2 linked regions of the Astyanax mexicanus genome follow. The protein of the gene in region 1 interacts with the protein of each later gene in a pairwise test. Links are inferred from orthologs where the notes say so. Each region holds a gene or a part of one and is shown on either strand. Other genes may lie near its edges.

Region 1 (8,947 bases):
ACAAGGCCTAACTAGTACCCAAATGGGTCAAATGAGTCCACAGCAAACGAAAGCAAAAGGTATTTAACAAAAAAATCAATTTAAATGCATAAGTTATATAATATGTACTAATATTAAATTACTAATTGCAGATTTATATTGGTTTTTATATTTTTGTCTAATATTCTAAAATAAAATGCTGTAAATGCTATTTGTTTGTAGTGAGATATTTAACATTAGAATAAGATTTGGTTACTTAGTAATTAAACCGCCTGTGGTTTCAGGACATTTACATGATACACAGTACCAGTCAAAACTCTGGACACATCTTCTCATTTAAAGTATTCGGTGAAGAAGTTAGGTGGGCTCTTATCTCTTATGGGATAACTCTTTGTCTTCCTTGTTTTAGGGTGGTCCTGATGAGAGCCACTTTCATCATAACATTTTTGATGTTTTTTGCGACTACACCTAAAGATGCTTTTAAAGTTCTTATACTTTTTGGGATTGACTGACCTTCAACAACAAGGCAATGGCAGATTAGAAATGTTCAAATATCCAAAATAAATAAAACATAAATCAAATAAAAACACTGTTTTAAAACAAAGTCAACACACTGGCTCATTTAGACTAATAGGCTCTGATAAATAAATAAACACAATGGATAAAATTGAAAAAAAAAAAAAAATCAGCAAAAATGAAATAGGTTGTTAATGTAAGTTAGATCCACTGTTTGTTTGTCTGTTTAAAGTGGGTTCTTTAACTTTTGTTATCTGATATTTACTAAACCACCTGTATTTTCAGGAGCTTTATACAGTATTTATCTTATACATGTAGGCATATCTGGGCTATTATTTATCATTTGGTTGTGAGGCCTAAAATATATCTACATATTTTATAAGCGAAATAAGGGACTTAAGATATATTTGCAGGAATCAGGAGTGTATGTGTTTAATGTACTTTTGCACATGGTGAGAATATTTAGTCATGGTTGTACATTGTTCTTTTTGCTCTTCTTGCTTGTTTGATGTGTGTTTGATTGTCGTGTAAAGTTTTACTTCGGTATTAAACTGTCCTATTTGTGTCTTTAATCATTATGTATCCTTTTAAAACAATTAATATTTGATTGTTCTTGTTTACATCTAAACATATGTGGGCGTTCTTTCTTTTTGTTCCATCACTGTTCATGTGTGAATCACTCACCAAAACCACATTGAAGCGCTCCTCTAGTTCCTCCTCGGGGGGCATGGGGAGTTTGGGTGGGGCCGTTTTCTTCTTTATTGTGCCAGGTAAGGGACTGGTCCCACCCAACGAGGCCCGGGCCTCCTGGCCCTCCGGCTGCTCTAGGCCACCTGCCGCATTACCCATCACTACCTTCCGAAAGTATTCCAGGATCCCAACCTCCAGCAAGTGACAATTCCCACAGCAAACGGCTTCTGACCAATCACGGCCAGTCAACTCTTAAAGATCAAATCCAATGCCTTTTTCGAAAGTTTACGAATCTCCACAATGTTCTTTGGTTCGGTCAGGTCCAAAAAAGTGGCTGAAGCATTTCTTTTATGACATGCTGTCAAAAACAGCAAGAGCAGGAGGAAAGATCAAAGGGAAAAAGTAGCAAAAAAACAAAAATAATCAGAATTTTGTAATCTTGTACTCTACCGATAAAAAAAAATAGGGTTTTACCATCAATTTAATGCATAAGAAGCAAAACACACAGTCCTATATTGAGCAATCTCCTGTTCGTTTCAAAATGGAGGGAAAAACACACCAGACACACATATGTATGCAAAAAACACTGTGTCTGGAAAAAAGGGAAGCAGAAATGCCACTTACAATGCTAACATTCACTTTATGAACAATAGCTGTCCTTCAGGCAAAGTGAATCAAGTTTTGAATGCCCTCCAGCTGTTCAGTAACGTTGCTCAGCACTAGGCCTCTGTCTGCTCATCCTCTGGTTGAGAGTGACGCACGCTGAAGCATCTTTCTTCATCCTTTCAGTAACATCCACTGTCTGTCCAACAACACTGAAGTTTATCCTCGAAAAGATAGGAAGTGTGAACGAAGAAGAGAAGAAGACACCTGTCCGAATGTTAAACTTCTAGTGGGCTCTGGTGTGTGTGTGTGTGTGTGTGTCTCCTTGTTTGAAAAAACGTTTAGCGTTTAGTGACAAGGGAGGGTTGAAGTGCAAGAGGAGGAAACCACAGAAAAAAGCAGAAGCAACAGACGCTTCCTGAAAACGATGCGCAAGAGAAACTGAGAGAGAGAGAGAAAAAGAGCAAGAGAAGAGGCTGAAAGCCAGAGCAAGAGAAAGAAAGAGAGAGAAAAAATCGTAATAGATGTGACATAGTACTAACTTCAAGCTGAAAGATAAACTGGTGTTGGTCTTTATTAATTATTAAATATGTGCAAAAGAAGGTTTGGCCTTGTGGAAAAACAAAAGTCATGTTGGCTAGATCTGGCCTTCTACCCACTTTTGACTTACTATATCTCCATAAACTTACCTCAGAATGCCACCGTGTGGTACATACACCATATTACCAAGAGAAGCAGCTCGTCTGTCTTGAGTTTGGTGATGTAAGGCTTGGGTGGAGCGGCTCAGCCATGGAACCCATTCCATGAAGGTCTTCACGCTCTACGCTGTTCTTGGGCTAATCTGACAGCCACATGAAGTTTGAAGGTCTGGAGTGATAGACTCTGCTGTAGAAAGTTGGAGATCCGTTGACTCCTGTCTCTGTTATTTTACATTGGCAGAGCGAGTTGCTTTTGTTCCCAGTTGCTTCCACTTTGTTATAATAGCACAGACAGTTGGCTGTGGAATATTTACTAGTGAGGAAATTTTGTGACTGGACTTGTTTCACAGGTACTGCATCCTATCACAGTAAAACACTGGAATTCACTGATTTCCTGATAGTGCCGCATTCTTTCACTAATGTTTGTAGAAGCAGTCTGCATGCCTAGGCCCTTGGTGTTATACACATGTGGATTTCCACCCTTAGTCTTACGTCAGAATGATAAAATTTGCATAGAACCACTCAGGCACCACCCTTCATACATCAACCCCTACCAGAGCCTCACCCAATAGATCAGTTGAAGATCTGCCACACTGAATGCGTTGGCTACAGGCAAAAGAAAGTCACATGTGGTGTTTTTTGGCTGCCAAGAACAACACATTCTTTTTTCAATGGCCATGTTTCAACAACAATCGCCAAGAAACTTCTGGTGTGTGCAAACCACTTCAAGGCAGACAGCTTTGAGAACCTTGGACAGTACACAGCAAGATTACCCAGCAGACTTTGTCTGAGGGAGGGATCTGTACCTGCTGTCCGTGGCAAGTCAGCAGAGTTTTGTTTCTATCTCAATTATGCATGAACTACCTTGCTCATGTTTTGCTATTTAGCACAAGCTGACATTAACATTACTGCTAGTCCTGCACATGAATTTAGTGAAACTAAGGAGAGATGGCAATGATAACCAAAAATAACAAGTAACAAGTTAATTAAATTAAAAAGCTGACTAACCCTTCAGGAACCACTTGCTGCATTCTTAAAGGTGTTTGTGCAGGTGTAACTTTGATTTTTTTTCCTTTTGTAAACGTCTAGCTTGGGAGTAACCATACAGGATTGTTTCAGATAGTTGCTGTCGGACCAAAATCATGGCTCTCTACAATAGTAAATGCAGCCTTTACCTTTTTTTGCTGATCCATTTGTCAAGTCATTTTGAAGGAGAGCAAGGAAAAGCTGGATTTGAGCAGCAAAAGCCCAACAGCGGCAGCCCAGCAAACAAGGACATTGTACCCACAACCCTGTGATCAATAACACAGTGCTCAAACCACTGAGCCACGCATCTTTTCCACATTAATAAAATATATATCATAAACACAGTTTTGTCAGTCAGTACTTCTGTACAACATCTTCTGTAAATCTGTATGTATAATTTATGTACAAAATAAATCAGCTAGTTTTAGTCTATAACTTTTTCTGTATATTCATGGAAGAAAAAGGACCCCAGGACATAAACACCACTTAAAAGAATGTGTGTTTATGTGGGTGTGCCCCTAAGCTTTCACTGCCTTAGGCAACTGCCCGTATCGACCCTGCCAGTAACCACCGCTGGAGCCGCGAGCGTGTCCAGAATAAGGAAGAATGATGAGAGGAACTGTTCAGACCCCCGTAGTGATAGTGATCTCTTCACCAAACTGCCATTACAGAGACATTTCAAGGCCAGCACCACCCACACAAAATATCACTTCAACATCTCCAGCCTCTTCCCTGGAGCAATCTGGCTTCTGAATGTCACCCCTGTCGCTCCCTACATACATAAATAATGTTTTCCAATGTAGTTCTATTCCAATATGAAAAAGTATAACAAAAGGTAAGTGTATTTATACAGTATTAATATACATTAATATATCAATATGCTCAATGTTTCTTGCTTTTATTTTTGTAAAACTTTATGTACCGTAATTTTTGGTCATTTTAAAGTGGGGTTCTGAGCTTACCGCATCCCGGGTCGGCAGAGTGTGCGGTGCTTCGCAGAGGTATCCAGCTGTTACCAGTTGAGCTTTTATTTTCTTTGTAACTGGTTTTAAAGCAAATTACATTCAACAAACCCCTTTTTTCGCCTATACATTTATATTAGACTTACCAATTAATTTTATGACAAGGATCTTGTGACTACTGTATTATTTTAAACCGTACGTACACCCTAAGAACATATTTTATGTACCGTGAACGCAGCACTGTTCACGGTACGTAACTATATTTGTGTACATGGCCTGTTTAATTAAAAGTGTGGCTCATAGCCATGTGCGGCTTGTAGTCAGGCTAATTATGTGTGGCCTGTATACAAACATTTTTTTTTAATTAGTGGGTGGGGCTTACAGTTGCGCTTAATAGCTCGAAAATTATGATATCTCAAAATGGATGCAGTATGTGGTTTAGCATTGTATTGCTGACATATGCAAGGCTTCCTGAAAGAGACATTGTCAGGAAGTTCTAAAGCCTCTATGTACTGCATACTGTATAAATTCAGCATTGATAGTACCTTTTCAGATGTGTAATTTCCAGAGCTGTCAAAAATATTAATAATTCCCTGAATATTTATGTAAAAGAACTTTGGATAAAACACTGACTTATTTTTCATAGTAATGTCAGAAGTTATTCCATAAAAAAATGTTTTATGTGAAGAGAATTTATGAATATCCAGATTTCCTCCTGCTGTGAGCTCTAAAACCTCTTTACCCTCCTCTGCTGGTGATAGAGGAGTGTGTCCCCGGGTTCTGACTCCTGATCAGCTGAGATCAGCAGCAGCAGACGGCGCTGTTCTCCAGCGCGCTCCCCTCAGCTCCTCATCCCGTGATCTTTCCGTGTTTCTTCCAAAATGACGGAGCCCAGCGCGTCGCCGGAGGATCCCTGGCACAAAGTAAGCAGACAGTTCAGCTGTTTAACTCCTGTAGAAGACAGTCAGGTGCTTTACTGATGTGATAAACCTGAGATTAGAGAATATAAGCGCTGGAATCAACTAACGTTACTTTCACTTTATGATGATCAATAGAAGACTAATAGTAAAGCTGGCTAAACAAAAGAAAACTTGGGGATCTGGCTCCTTTGTGTTTATCTACGTCATATTAGCGTTAGCCAACGTCTTCCCAGACTTATAACATGATTTATAACACTGTAGTAACTTATCAGACTGCGAATGATCACTGATATAACAATGATGTATCTCTATTTGGGATAGAGAATGTCCAGAAACGTCCATAAGTATAAATCCACTCCGGGATTTTGCTCCAACTGCGTGGACGCTGTAGCTGCAAGTAGACCCGCACAGGCTGTTGGAACAAAACCCTGGGATGGATTCGTATTTCTGGACCTGGATTAGCCAACTCTAGTAACAAGCTTAATGTCTTAGCTAGCTAACAAGCTATATTTGTAAATATATATTTCTAAATGATTTTAAATAAGCTCGTTTGTCTATATTGTACATTAAAATATACAACTTAGTACAGTATTGTACAACTAAAATATCCGCCTCATAAACTCTAAAATAACTTAAATAGCTAAATTAGGTAGTTAGTTAGCGTTAGCTAAGACTGTAAGTTAGCCTCTTCTCAAAACTCGGTGTTGTCACCGAGCTCAGCTGACCTACATTGGATTCGGAAACGCTAACTAGCTAAACTAACCTTAGTTTGGATTAGCTAGCTAGGTTAGCTTAGCTAGAAAACTTGTGTAAAAACGACATTCTTTACATATTTTGTAAAGTTTACTGTTAAGTAGCTTAGAAAGGAGAGTTTACTATTGTGTAAAACATGTTTACCTTACAGTGAGCTCTGTTTCACTTTTTAGGGGGTGCTTTGTTTTAGTTTAATACTTAGTGATACTGATATAAATTGTTAAACTAGCATTACTGACAGAAATTGGCTGTATAGCTAGATAGCTAGTTGGATACTTAAAGTGACACTAAGCCATATTTTTTTCATTAATAGATGAAATGTGTTCCTGAAAAGGCACAAAACGTATTAGTTTTGCTTAAATTTTGTATATACATTTCCTAACCAGGTTCAACTGTGCTATAGGCAAGGATGATGTGTCCGTGTACATTGGTATGCAGACACTTACAATATGCAGATAACACCTGTCAATAAATAATAACACCCCCCTGCTGAACTCAAACCATCTGGGTATCAAAGGCACACTGCTGTTGCTGCAGCTTAGCCTGTCAGCTCTCCCTTCTGCACCGCCTCTAAACCCAAACATCACCCAGTGCCATGCCCAAACTACCCCTCCCATTTTTTTTTTACTTTTTCAAGTTTGAAGTCAGCACAAATCTGTGCTTTAATGCGGTTTAATAAAGTGGTTGACTGTTTATCAAGGGATAGATGTGGGCAATATGGATGCACGATACTGGCACATATCTGACATTGCAATATGTTTTTTCTGCAAAATATATATTGTGATACAAATTTTACAAATTTTCACTAGATTTCACCAGGAAAGTCATAGGTCCAAAATAATTATATAAAGTGGTTTATTCTTCACTGTGCTAGAAAAGCTGTAAAGTTGATTGGCAGTTTTAATATTGTCAGATGTTTTTAGACAAATAATGCAATATTGCTCTAATATGCTGATTCTAAGAGCCGGTCAGATTATATTCTTTGTGCAAAGATCCTCTATCACATGATGATTACATTTCTTGGTAAAAAAAAAAAATGTATATGGAAATATAAGGCTTGTACATGGCTGCAGAATCGCATTGTATTGCGCCTCTTGAAGGGAGCAAGGCACACTATGCTGCCATCCTTGGTTGTTTTTTTTAGAGGCTCCCCTACAGACCAAGAGTAAATGTTCTCTGTCACAATGCTATTCCTCTGGTTCCATACCCTAGCCATGCATGATGTGTTGAGCACAATAGACTATTAAACATATCAGAAAAGGGTTTGTACATTGCATGTTTGGGGGAAAAAAAGTCAGAAAAGAGTTTTTTGAGTAGCAAGTGCGACAAGATCTTATACTGGATTCTGATTTTATATATTGTAAAATCCACTTCAAACCAAATTTGTGCCAAATAATGTGCTGTTTAGTAAAGTAAATACACATACCTGGACTAAACGTCACTTATGAAGCAAGCTTGCAAAATAGTTCATAATAATAGACAGGCAATATTAGAATTTTAGCTCTGGCTATTCGGAGAAGACTTGCACATCTATAACTATGGCCCTCTAGCAACTAGCCTGCCTCTTGCTTTTTGCTGAGGATATATGTAGCATTTGCCATAAAGCGAGACTGACTCTTGCAATGCCCAAGATTTTTTTTTCCCCTACAGACCAAAAGGGTGAAAAAGTGAGAAACTTCTTACGCTTCATAATTACCCATGTATTTATCTTAAACAGTATGAAATGCATTGATTAACTGAAAATGTTGCATGGTGTGCCTTTAATACCAGTAACCGGATTCCCCTCCTGAGGTCTTCAATTGGCATCAGCGATCCACCAAACGCATTGAAAGACAATCTGTAATCGGTGTAACCTCCCGTTTTTAGAGTGTATTTCTGCATTGTCTAAAGTCATTGCTGCATCCCTAATAATAATAATGCTATTTTGATAATGATGAAGCATGCTGTTAAAGGTTGATCTTCATCCACAGCTAAAATTGTCACAGTTTATCTTTATAATGCTAAATTATCATAATTTTAACCGAGCCCTATTCACTGGCATTGTAAGTGCAGGTACATTTAAGTGGCATTTCTCATTGTTAGCATTGTAAATGGCATTTATTATTCTCATCATTGCTGAAAGTGCCTTCGCTTTTATGGTTCCAGCGTTTTGTAAAGTAATAAAGCCGTCTCTGCCGGGCGTAGCGGGGTGCTAATGGTTATTTATTGAGGACATATCACAGTAGGGAGTACTGGTGTCCTAGATGCATGATGTGCCAGGTGTATAACTTTTAGTGCTGGCGGGTGGTTTGTATCGGTCTGTCTGTCTGTCTGTGTCTCTCTTTTCTTTACCGTTAAGAGAATTCTGTCATTTTGTCTGAATTAATCCGAGTGTTTATTTTTCCCTCGTCCTGAACTTCACCTCGCCATGGCTCAGCAGACGGACGGCACCTTTAGCGACAATGGCTTTGACCACAGTAAGTACTTAAGCCTGGCTTTAAGTGTGTGTCTATTTAAGCAGCCCTGAAAGGAGTGGTTTTATTAGTTTAGTGTTATTGTAGTAGTTCATTGGTTTTATTATGTCATATGTTTAATTAATTGGGTTTAGAAAAATGTAGTGTATAGTTTTATAGTTTTAGTGCTTGTATATCTTCACTGTTACAGATCAATAAATATGCAGAAGCAGAAAACCGTATTATCTTTTAATGAAAGTCAAAGTAAAAAAAAATTGGAGGAATTTTATTCCCTCATTAATTAATAGATGTTGACTTAAGGTAAATGACAATTAGATTCACATTATGTCATGAAGTAAAACATTTTA
Region 2 (9,194 bases), on another chromosome or scaffold:
TTAGCAATCCAGCTAACTAATTAGTGCCTGTTCCACCAGTAGATAGCTTATCCATTTCAGCTTTCGACTGTTTCACGGGATGTGTGTTCTCCTTGCTCAACTAGAATCCCTTCTAGATAATTAGCTTTGCATAGCTTAGCTTATCAAACAAATTAGTGCCAGTTCCACCAGTAGAATCCTATTCATTTTAACTTTCATTTTTTTATTGTTTTGGGGCATGTGAGCATTTTGCATGATGCTCTCCTTGGTTGGCTAGAATCCCTTCTAGATGTTTAGCTTTGCATAACTTAGCTTAGCAACCCAGCTAACTAATTAGTGCCTGTTCCATCAGTAGAAAGCTTATACATTTTAACTTTCACCTTTAATTATTTTGGGGGATGCGTGTGTTTAGCCGGGTGCTCTTCTTGGTTAGCTAGAATCCCTTCTAGACAATTAGCTTTGCATAGCTTAGCTTAGTTATCCAGCTAACTAATCAGTGCCAGTTCCACCAGTAGAATCTTATTCACTTTAACTTTCAGTTTTTGATTGTTTCGGGGGATGTAAGAGTTTTACTTGGCTAGAATCCCTTCTAGAGGATTAGCTTTGCATAGCTTAGCTTAGCTTAGCAACCCAGCTAACAAACTGTTGCCTTGCAAAAAACTATTTTTTTTAATAATGCACTAGAGAAAAAGAGAATCATCACGAAAAACTCAACACATGAAAACGTTAAAACAGGTTTTTTTTTAGGGTGTGTAAATGCACAGAGCTACTTCTAAAGTGTTAGCTTATTGACTCGGCTAACTAATTAGTGCCTGTTCCATCAGTGAAAAGCTGCAAATTCATTTCAACTTTCAGACAACACAAGATATCTATGAACGCCACCTTCATCGACTTCTTCTAATGATGCTAAAGCTAATTTAAGCCATATTTTTTCCATTTTTCTCTGCAAAAGCCAGGAATTCTGTCACAAATATAGCGGCACAACATAAAAAATGAAAAATCACGTGGGCTGTTATACGTGAATAATAAATGTGCCTAATTATGCATGACCACTTTATACGTTTTTTTTTTTACGCAAAGCCCCAGATGCGGCGGAAACTAGGTCATTTACCTGCTGCTGCAGTTTTTCTTGCTTTTATTTTTCCGCTTGGACCCGTCCCGGTCTTTATGGCTGGTGAATGGTAACATTGAGGCGTACCCATGCTCGGCTTCTGCGATAAAAAAAAACAAGAAATCAGAGGAAAATGCAATACGTTAGCGCTGTACACTCGTTTAGATGATGGATGACAGTCATGCAATCGTGCAAACGTGCAATTACGCAATATTAATGCATTGCAATTAGTGATGCTAGAGTTTCTCGATGCACTTGGATGAAAACAGCCACATTTCAAGGTCTATTTCTGCTTTAATTTGCTCAAATTCGCCGTATTTCCAGCAAATCTACGGCTTTTGGGTCAATGATGTCATCTGAACTGGAGTAAACCCAGCAGCCAGCCGGAGAAACCACAACAGTGCGAGGGGAGGGGGGATGCGCTAGGAAAGCCTCCATCAGGAACAAACAGCTGCACTGAAAAACCCATTTTAATCCCAATAAAAAAGCCCTGCTGCACAAATACAGCACATATGCATGCAGGATATACACTGTATATATGCACTGAAGCATGCACACGTATAAAAAAGCCTTTTGGAAGCTGTATAATCTAAATTTACCCTTTAAAAAAGGAAAATACTGACTGGATGCACAGTGGCCATGCATGCTTATTTATAAATCCAGTGCTCTACAGTGCTAGCCTAGCCTACGGCTAATCTCTCACAGCTAAAGTGGTTTATAAATAAAGAGCTGGATTTTGCACGTGCATGTGAATTTGTATTATAACTGATTTAATGGAATCATAAGCACAAGAAATTGATTGTTAAAAAATAAAATGCTAAAATTAAAGCTATAGCTCTATAGGTTTATTATATAATCCAATAAAATCAAAACTGTTATCAACGTAGTTAAAACCTTTGCTTTATACTGTCGTTATTAATGGTCATGATTTTAGGCCTAAAAACTGTTTTAATACCATTTTAATAAGTGAGTTTTTAAAAATGAAAGAAAAATTAGAACTACTAGGATTTACTAGGAGATACATGCATTTATAATATAATATAATAATTACCTTTATCTTTTATAAGTTATCATAATTTATTTCAAATTTACTAAACTTGCACCAAATAAAAAAAAAGATCTAAAACTGAACAAAATCAAAAAATAGGCCAAACCAAACCGAATTCGCAAATGTTGAGTTCAGAAGGTAGATTACTTTTTATTTACAGTTTTCTGAAGTTTAGGCTCCTCCCTCTCTCTGCTGTTGTAGAGTGTGGAATATGGAGCTAGACTAGTGTTTATTCACTACATTAAAAAAAGCTCTCCTTTAAAACATTAAAGAACATTAAATTAATCTAATTTAAAAAGCAACAAAACATATATTTTTATAGATATTATTAATCTGTTTTTACAGAATTCTGATGTGAATACTGAATACCTATTTAAAATAATTTTTTTGTTTTTTTTAATTAAATTTGCCATGTTTTTTTTTTCTTTTTACCAATACACAGATTAAATAACCTAAAAAATATTATATTATTATTTAGTATGTATATAAATTATGACATATTTATTACAAACCCTGTTTATGGCTGGTTTTCGCTTATTCATTCATTCATTCATTCATTCATATTTTAACAAACACACAAATTAAATAGCCTTAAACTAAATTTGTTTTTTTTTGCCAAATTTTATTTTTCCAGTAAAATAATTTCAGTAGTAACAAAAGTTTTATCTTATAATATGATATAGAGTAGCTATCATGTGTGTTTTTTTAGTATTCTTATATAAAAAAGCTGTATAGGAAAGAGATTTTCATTTTATACATATGATATATTTTGTATACATGCATTTATTACAGAAGGTACATTATATAGGTTATATAGGTCTGTGTGTGTAAAATATACTGTGTATATTAATACTGCTGGTGTTGATGTTGATAATGATGATGTTGATGGTAGTATGGTCTAAAAATTACTTTAAATATAGCTATAGAGTAAGATTACGATAATTTTGCATGCATTTTTCTATTTTTAATTATTATTATTATTTATTAATCACTCACCTCTTTCCCTTCGATCCAGATACTCAGCAGCTTCGATCAACATCTGCACCAAACCAATGGCAGCCATTTTCAACAATAACACAGGAATTAAAAATGATAAAAATGTATATATGATGTATATAGAGCTGTGTGACACTCCAGGTCAGATTGTGTCCTTAAAAAATGTTAAAAAATAATAAAAAAGCAGAGTCTAGCTGTTGTTTTTCTTGTGTTCTTCGTGTGGGCTGCAGTTCTGCTGGATAAAAACAAAAGATATTCCAGCTTTCTTAGGAGCAGAAGCTGCAGAAATACAAATACAAGAAATAAAATTGATTAAAAAAATTGATAAATTGATTTTTTTTATGGTTTTCTGTTGGAAAAAGGCAGGAAAATGAAAGAAAATGTAGATGTGCCTCCTTTAATGTAGTGCAAAACGTCCAAAAAAAAGTGTTCCCAAAGAAAAAAACAGTCCAACTCTCCAAAACAGTGATTTTACAGCCTGAATCCCACTATAAAACGTCCAAAAAATCTAAAAATAAAATCAGAATATGGAAAAACACGTCCCTTTTCTTGTTGCTGCTACAGAGCCAGCCAGCTAGCTCCTGTATATCTTCTTTATAAAGGGAATCCTGCTTATATATAAAGCATATATGCTGGATTAGTGCAAAAAAAACACGTTAAAATCTCCTTAAAACACGAAAAATAAGAATACAGTGCAGCACAGGCACTTCTTAAAGCATGAACTCAAAGCCAAAACAACGCTGACAGACCAGTTCTTCAGCAGATTAAAGGTAAAAAGCGAATAAACGCTTAGTTTTAGCTTAAATCCAGCGGTTTTAGCTTTTAAACGCTGTTTTTAGGTTAAATAAATAGTGCTTTAAAGCACAGAGCTGCTGGATTCTGCCTCCTGCTCCTGCTGCCCGACCAGAGCTACAGCCACAATACACGCACCTCACAGCAGGCCGCGCTCCGATTGGTCGAGCTGGCGCGGTGTCGGAGAGGACTGCGTTCTGATTGGTCGGTACGGCTGTGGGGCGTGAGTTCACGGCGTTGGAGGAGGAAGGCGGGTTGCTATTGGCTGAAGCGGCTGTCAGTTTTTTTTGTCACCTATTTTTTAATCGTGTCTCGGTGTAAAAAAATAGAAAATAACGTAAATAAAATACGTAACCAGATAGAATATACTGCATTTTTACCTTGTATGAATAATACATTAAATAGAAGTAATAATTAAATACAAATATTAACGTTAGTGTAAAAAAAAAATAATAAAAAACGTAACAAGATAGAATAAATTGTATTTTTACGTTGTATAAATTAGACATTAAATTTAATAATAATTAAATAAAAAATATAAACGTTAGTGTAATGCAAAATGAAAAAATAAAATACGTAAACAGATGAAATGAACTGTAATATTTTATCATTTAGAGACGATATATAGTATAGATATTTTAGATAAAGATACATAATCAATATATATGTATATATAAATGTAGATAAATAAATAAATAAATACAAATAGAATAAAATGCAAAACGTAAGCTACTGAAATGCTTTTACTGAGTATTTCTAAGTTGCAATAATACACTGCATATAACAGTCAAAAGACATCTAAAAAAGACAGATAAATAATAAATACATTTTTAAAAATCGCAGGACGTTCACGTTAGAAACCATTGTATATGGGTAGCAATGGATTCCTGGTTAACGCTGTGGTTTGCAATGCATAAAAAAAAAATATATATATATATATATATAACAGACCACATGCACTAAAAACAGCAATACAGTTGTCAAAATAATACGAATAATAAGAATAAAGTTGACAGATAACATTAAGCTTGTTTTAGCCAACTAACTAATTCTGATGGTATTCGTTAGCTATATAAATAAACGTTTTAGCGCTGTTCAGCTGCACGTAAACATATTTATCTAGGTAAAATAACCAGGCATTATCCGACAAAGCCAGAAGACGGTGTTCTGTCGAGTTGTGCTACCCGTCCAAAAGTGCTTCCTACCGATACTGCGCATGCGCGGACACGCACACATTCTTTAAAAAGGTTTTTTTTTAATGTTGATTTTTGCTGTTAAGTATTAGTATGGAAGCCCATTTCCGCCACCTGAAGAAAAAAAAACGTCCTCAACTAAGTCATAATTATGAGATAGAAAAGTCATAATTATGGGATAGAAGGCATATTTATGAGATAGAAAGTCATAATTATGAGATAGTAAGTCATAATTATGAGAAACTAAGTCATAATTATGAGATAAAAAAGTCATAATTATGAGATAGTAAGTCATAATTATGAGATAGAAAAGTCATAATTATGGGATAGTAAGTCATAATTATGAGATAGTAAGTCATAATTATGAGATAGTAAGTCATAATTATGAGATAAAAAAGTCATAATTATGAGATAGAAAGTCATAATTATGAGATGATTTTTATCTCATAATTATGACTTACTATCTCATATTTATGAGATAAAAAGTCATCTCATAATTATGACTTTCTATCTCATAATTATGACTTTCTATCTCATAATTATGACTTAGTATCTCATAATTATGACTTTCTATCTCATAATTATGACTTACTATCCCATAATTATGACTTTTCTATCTCATAATTATGACTTAGTTGAGGACGTTTTTTTTTCTTCAGGTGGCGGAAATGGGCTTCCATATATTAGTGCTATTCTCTCTCAATCTCTTATTTAGTTAACGTATTAATTAATAATTATTTATTATTGATTTATGATATTTATGTGGTGTATTCCTCAAACATATTTGGACTCTCCACTGTGTTATTTGTGTTTTTAAAATTTTTGAAAAGGGGGTTTCATACAATATGTATTTACAATTGCATTTAAAAGCATACAAAAATACTAAATTATACATTTTTCTTTTTTTTTGTAGTCGTTCTTGTTGTTGTTGCATCAATTACTTCTATATATGCATTTTATATTAGAAATCAGTCAATACCTATTCAAATATGAATTATTACATGCTGCAACAAATACATAAAGGAAAACAGACACAAATATATGTATGTATGTATTCACATACATAATGTTTTACATAGTTTTTTTATTTTAACTGTATTTGTATTTCTAATATGGTGCTTTTGTCTTTTGAAAATATGTTCTATAAATATACACGATGGTAGCACGTTTTGTCAAGAGAGCACAAACTGACAGAACACTGGAGAATCCGGAACAGGAAGTGGATTCCTATTGGTTGCCATGGTTGCCATTTTTTTCTCAGACTCGTTGTAAAAAAAATGTACGTAAATATAATACGTAAATAAAAATAGCGCAAAAATGCTACAAAAAGCATTATAAATAAATCCAGTTAAAAATATACAAAAAATTACACAAAAACTAAAAAGAGTGCTTTGTTGTCCTGCGCCTATTGGTCGGTCGCCTCCTCGCCGAGATATATGGTCGCTCCTGATTGGCCAGAAAAGGCAACACCCACAGAACTCCATTGCAGTGATTGATCAAAAAGCACCAACCCTAGAAAACCTTGCTTGTGATTGGTTGAAATGAGACACCCCCTGAAGCCACGCCCCTAGCACATGCTGTTCTGCAGAAATTCACCTCCGAGCTGCTTTTCCCTTATAATAATATTTAATCAGTTAATAATTTTAATAAATAAGAATAAATATTATTAGTGGAGAATTAGGATAATTTATTATTAGTTAATACAGAGATTAAGAGTGTTTTAAGAGGGCATTACACTTAATAAATTAGTCTATTTACTACATATGAATATAACGTGTTGCACAAACACTTTAATATCTTCATGCAATACTTTTATATAATTTATAAATATACTATCGGTCAAAAGTTTTAGAACACACCAATTGTTTAATAGTCCAGTAGCTGCAGTTCTTTTTATTACTGCAGTTCTTCTTCTCCTGTCAGATTAACCCTAATTCTAATTCTTCTCTTCTCTGCTGAAACTGAGACTCAGTCCTTAATCATGTTAATCTGAGCTAAAGTCTAAAAGCTGCTGTTTCCATGTGGGTCAGCCAGACGTCTTCCTGTAGCAGCTTTCTCCAGTTTCCAAGAGTCTTTTGAAGGTTGTATCACTAATTTCTCTAAAGAAAATAACTTTTAATAGTTACAGAGTTCTCTGTGTTTCTGTGTCTTTTTCTAGATATAATGATGATGAAAGTGTGAATGTGCTGTAAGTGTGTAAGTATGTAAATGTTGCTGCTGTAGAGAGTAACAGCAGTAACACCATCTGTTCCACCACTGCTTTACTACTTGGAATAATATAAAATCCTTTACATATATCCAATACATATATGCTACAGACCAGCTATAAACTGTTAAACCATGAACCGTTTGCTAAAAATCACCCCCTCTTTTTTAAACAATATGTTTTTTTTCAGTTTTTAGTTAATCTAAGGCAGTTTATAGCAAAAAAAATATGTTTTTTGTATTAGAAACAAGAAGCTCTGGAAAAAGTGAAGAGAACACAAACCAGTTTCTCTGATTTTGCTATTTATAGGTTTATGTTTGAGTAAAATGAGCATTGTTGTTTTATTCTATAAACTACAGACAACATTTCTCCCAAATTCCAAATAAAAATATTCTCATTTAGAGCATTTATTTACAGAAAATGAGAAATGACTGAAATAACAAAAAAGATGCAGAACTTTCAGACCTCAAATAATGCAAAGAAAACAAGTTCATATTCATAAAGTTTTAAGAGTTCAGAAATAATCAATATTTGGTGGAATAACCCTGGTTTTTAATCACAGTTTTTTTTCATGCATCTTGGCATCATGTTCTCCTCCTCCACCAGTCTTACACACTGCTTTTGGATAACTTTATGCTGCTTTACTCCTGGTGCAAAAATTCAAGCAGTTCAGTTTGGTGGTTTGTGATCATCCATCTTCCTCTTGATTATATTCCAAATCGTATTTTTTTCCCCCAGAGCTGTATAAAAGGAACACAAGAGTTTTTTGTGGGTTTTTTTTCTTGTTTTATTAATATTGGGAACCACAATACAGAATCACACAATATAGAGGTGAAACTACTCAACAGTGTTCAAGCTTTTTAAACCCTTCAAGAAATAAAACAGGCATGTGAACAATAAATCCTAAATATAGGAAATAATGATGATAATAATAATAATAAAAACTGCAAGCACAAACACTAAACAAAAACTAAAAGTTACAAAGTTACACAGAGTGGATCAAAGCGAAGTCTCAGGAAGCTCGATTACGACTTTATTAAGCGATGAAGTCCAGCGGTCTGTTGAATCCACCTTTCCTGTTCATATACTGTCTGTAAAAGAAAATATGATTACATCATTGATCTCCCCTCTGCACCAACATATTACATCATCGCCGGCCAATGGGAGCGCGCGTCTCTGAGCTGTGCAGCACCTGCAGCTCTGATTGGCTGTTTAAGCAGGCTGTTGCTACTAACAGTGCAACCAAACAATGGGCTGCTGCTCAGAACAGCAGAGCTCAGACATAAACACAGGCATACAGCTGATCCACGCCCCGACCACGCACAAACCTCGTATCTCAGAGACACATCCTCAGAGAGATGCTGCTGATTTTACTGTGCATGTACATCAACATGCATATACATATACAGCAATCATTAATGCATAAACATTTAGCAATGATTAATAATTTCTAATTAGTGTCAATTAATATTTTAAGATAATTTATTAAATAACTTGCTTAACAATTTCACAATATTTATTAAAGTCATAACGACTCTTATTTAATTATCCTTAATGTAAAAGTGTTTCCGATATTTGATATTATTTTACAAATATGAGACTCAGCGACTATATATTTGTATACTTACAAATATAAATGAGATGTTTTTAAATGGGATTACAGTCATATGAAAAAGTTTGGGCACCCCTATTAATCTTACTCATTTTTAGTTCTAAATATTTGGGTGTTTGAAACAGCCATTTCAGTTTGATATATCTAATAACTGATGGACACAGTAATATTTCAGGATTGAAATGAGGTTTATTGTACTAACAGAAAATGTGCAATATGCATTAAACCAAAATTTGACTGGTGCAAAAGTATGGGCA

Evidence for each region.
Region 2: the proteins of mlx (region 1) and mxd1 interact in a two-hybrid assay, tested with the Homo sapiens proteins (2 studies listed by BioGRID and IntAct). The link is inferred for Astyanax mexicanus from reciprocal best matches to the Homo sapiens genes MLX and MXD1.

Annotation. Positions count from the first base shown.
Region 1 is NC_064426.1:23,206,523-23,215,469, reverse strand, and holds the start of mlx (max-like protein X), read left to right. Parts: upstream 1-5,258; 5' UTR 5,259-5,355; coding exon 5,356-5,397; intron 5,398-8,563; coding exon 8,564-8,603; intron 8,604-8,947. Other genes in the region: fmnl1a (formin-like protein 1), read right to left, coding at 1,180-1,344. UniProt on the Homo sapiens protein: Transcription regulator. Forms a sequence-specific DNA-binding protein complex with MAD1, MAD4, MNT, WBSCR14 and MLXIP which recognizes the core sequence 5'-CACGTG-3'. The TCFL4-MAD1, TCFL4-MAD4, TCFL4-WBSCR14 complexes are transcriptional repressors.
Region 2 is NC_064429.1:36,922,906-36,932,099, forward strand, and holds the start of mxd1 (max dimerization protein 1), read right to left. Parts: upstream 4,065-9,194; 5' UTR 3,202-4,064; coding exon 3,135-3,201; intron 1,191-3,134; coding exon 1,091-1,190; intron 1-1,090. Other genes in the region: snrnp27 (U4/U6.U5 small nuclear ribonucleoprotein 27 kDa protein), read right to left, coding at 8,362-8,416. UniProt on the Homo sapiens protein: Component of a transcriptional repressor complex together with MAX. In complex with MAX binds to the core DNA sequence 5'-CAC[GA]TG-3'. Antagonizes MYC transcriptional activity by competing with MYC for MAX binding.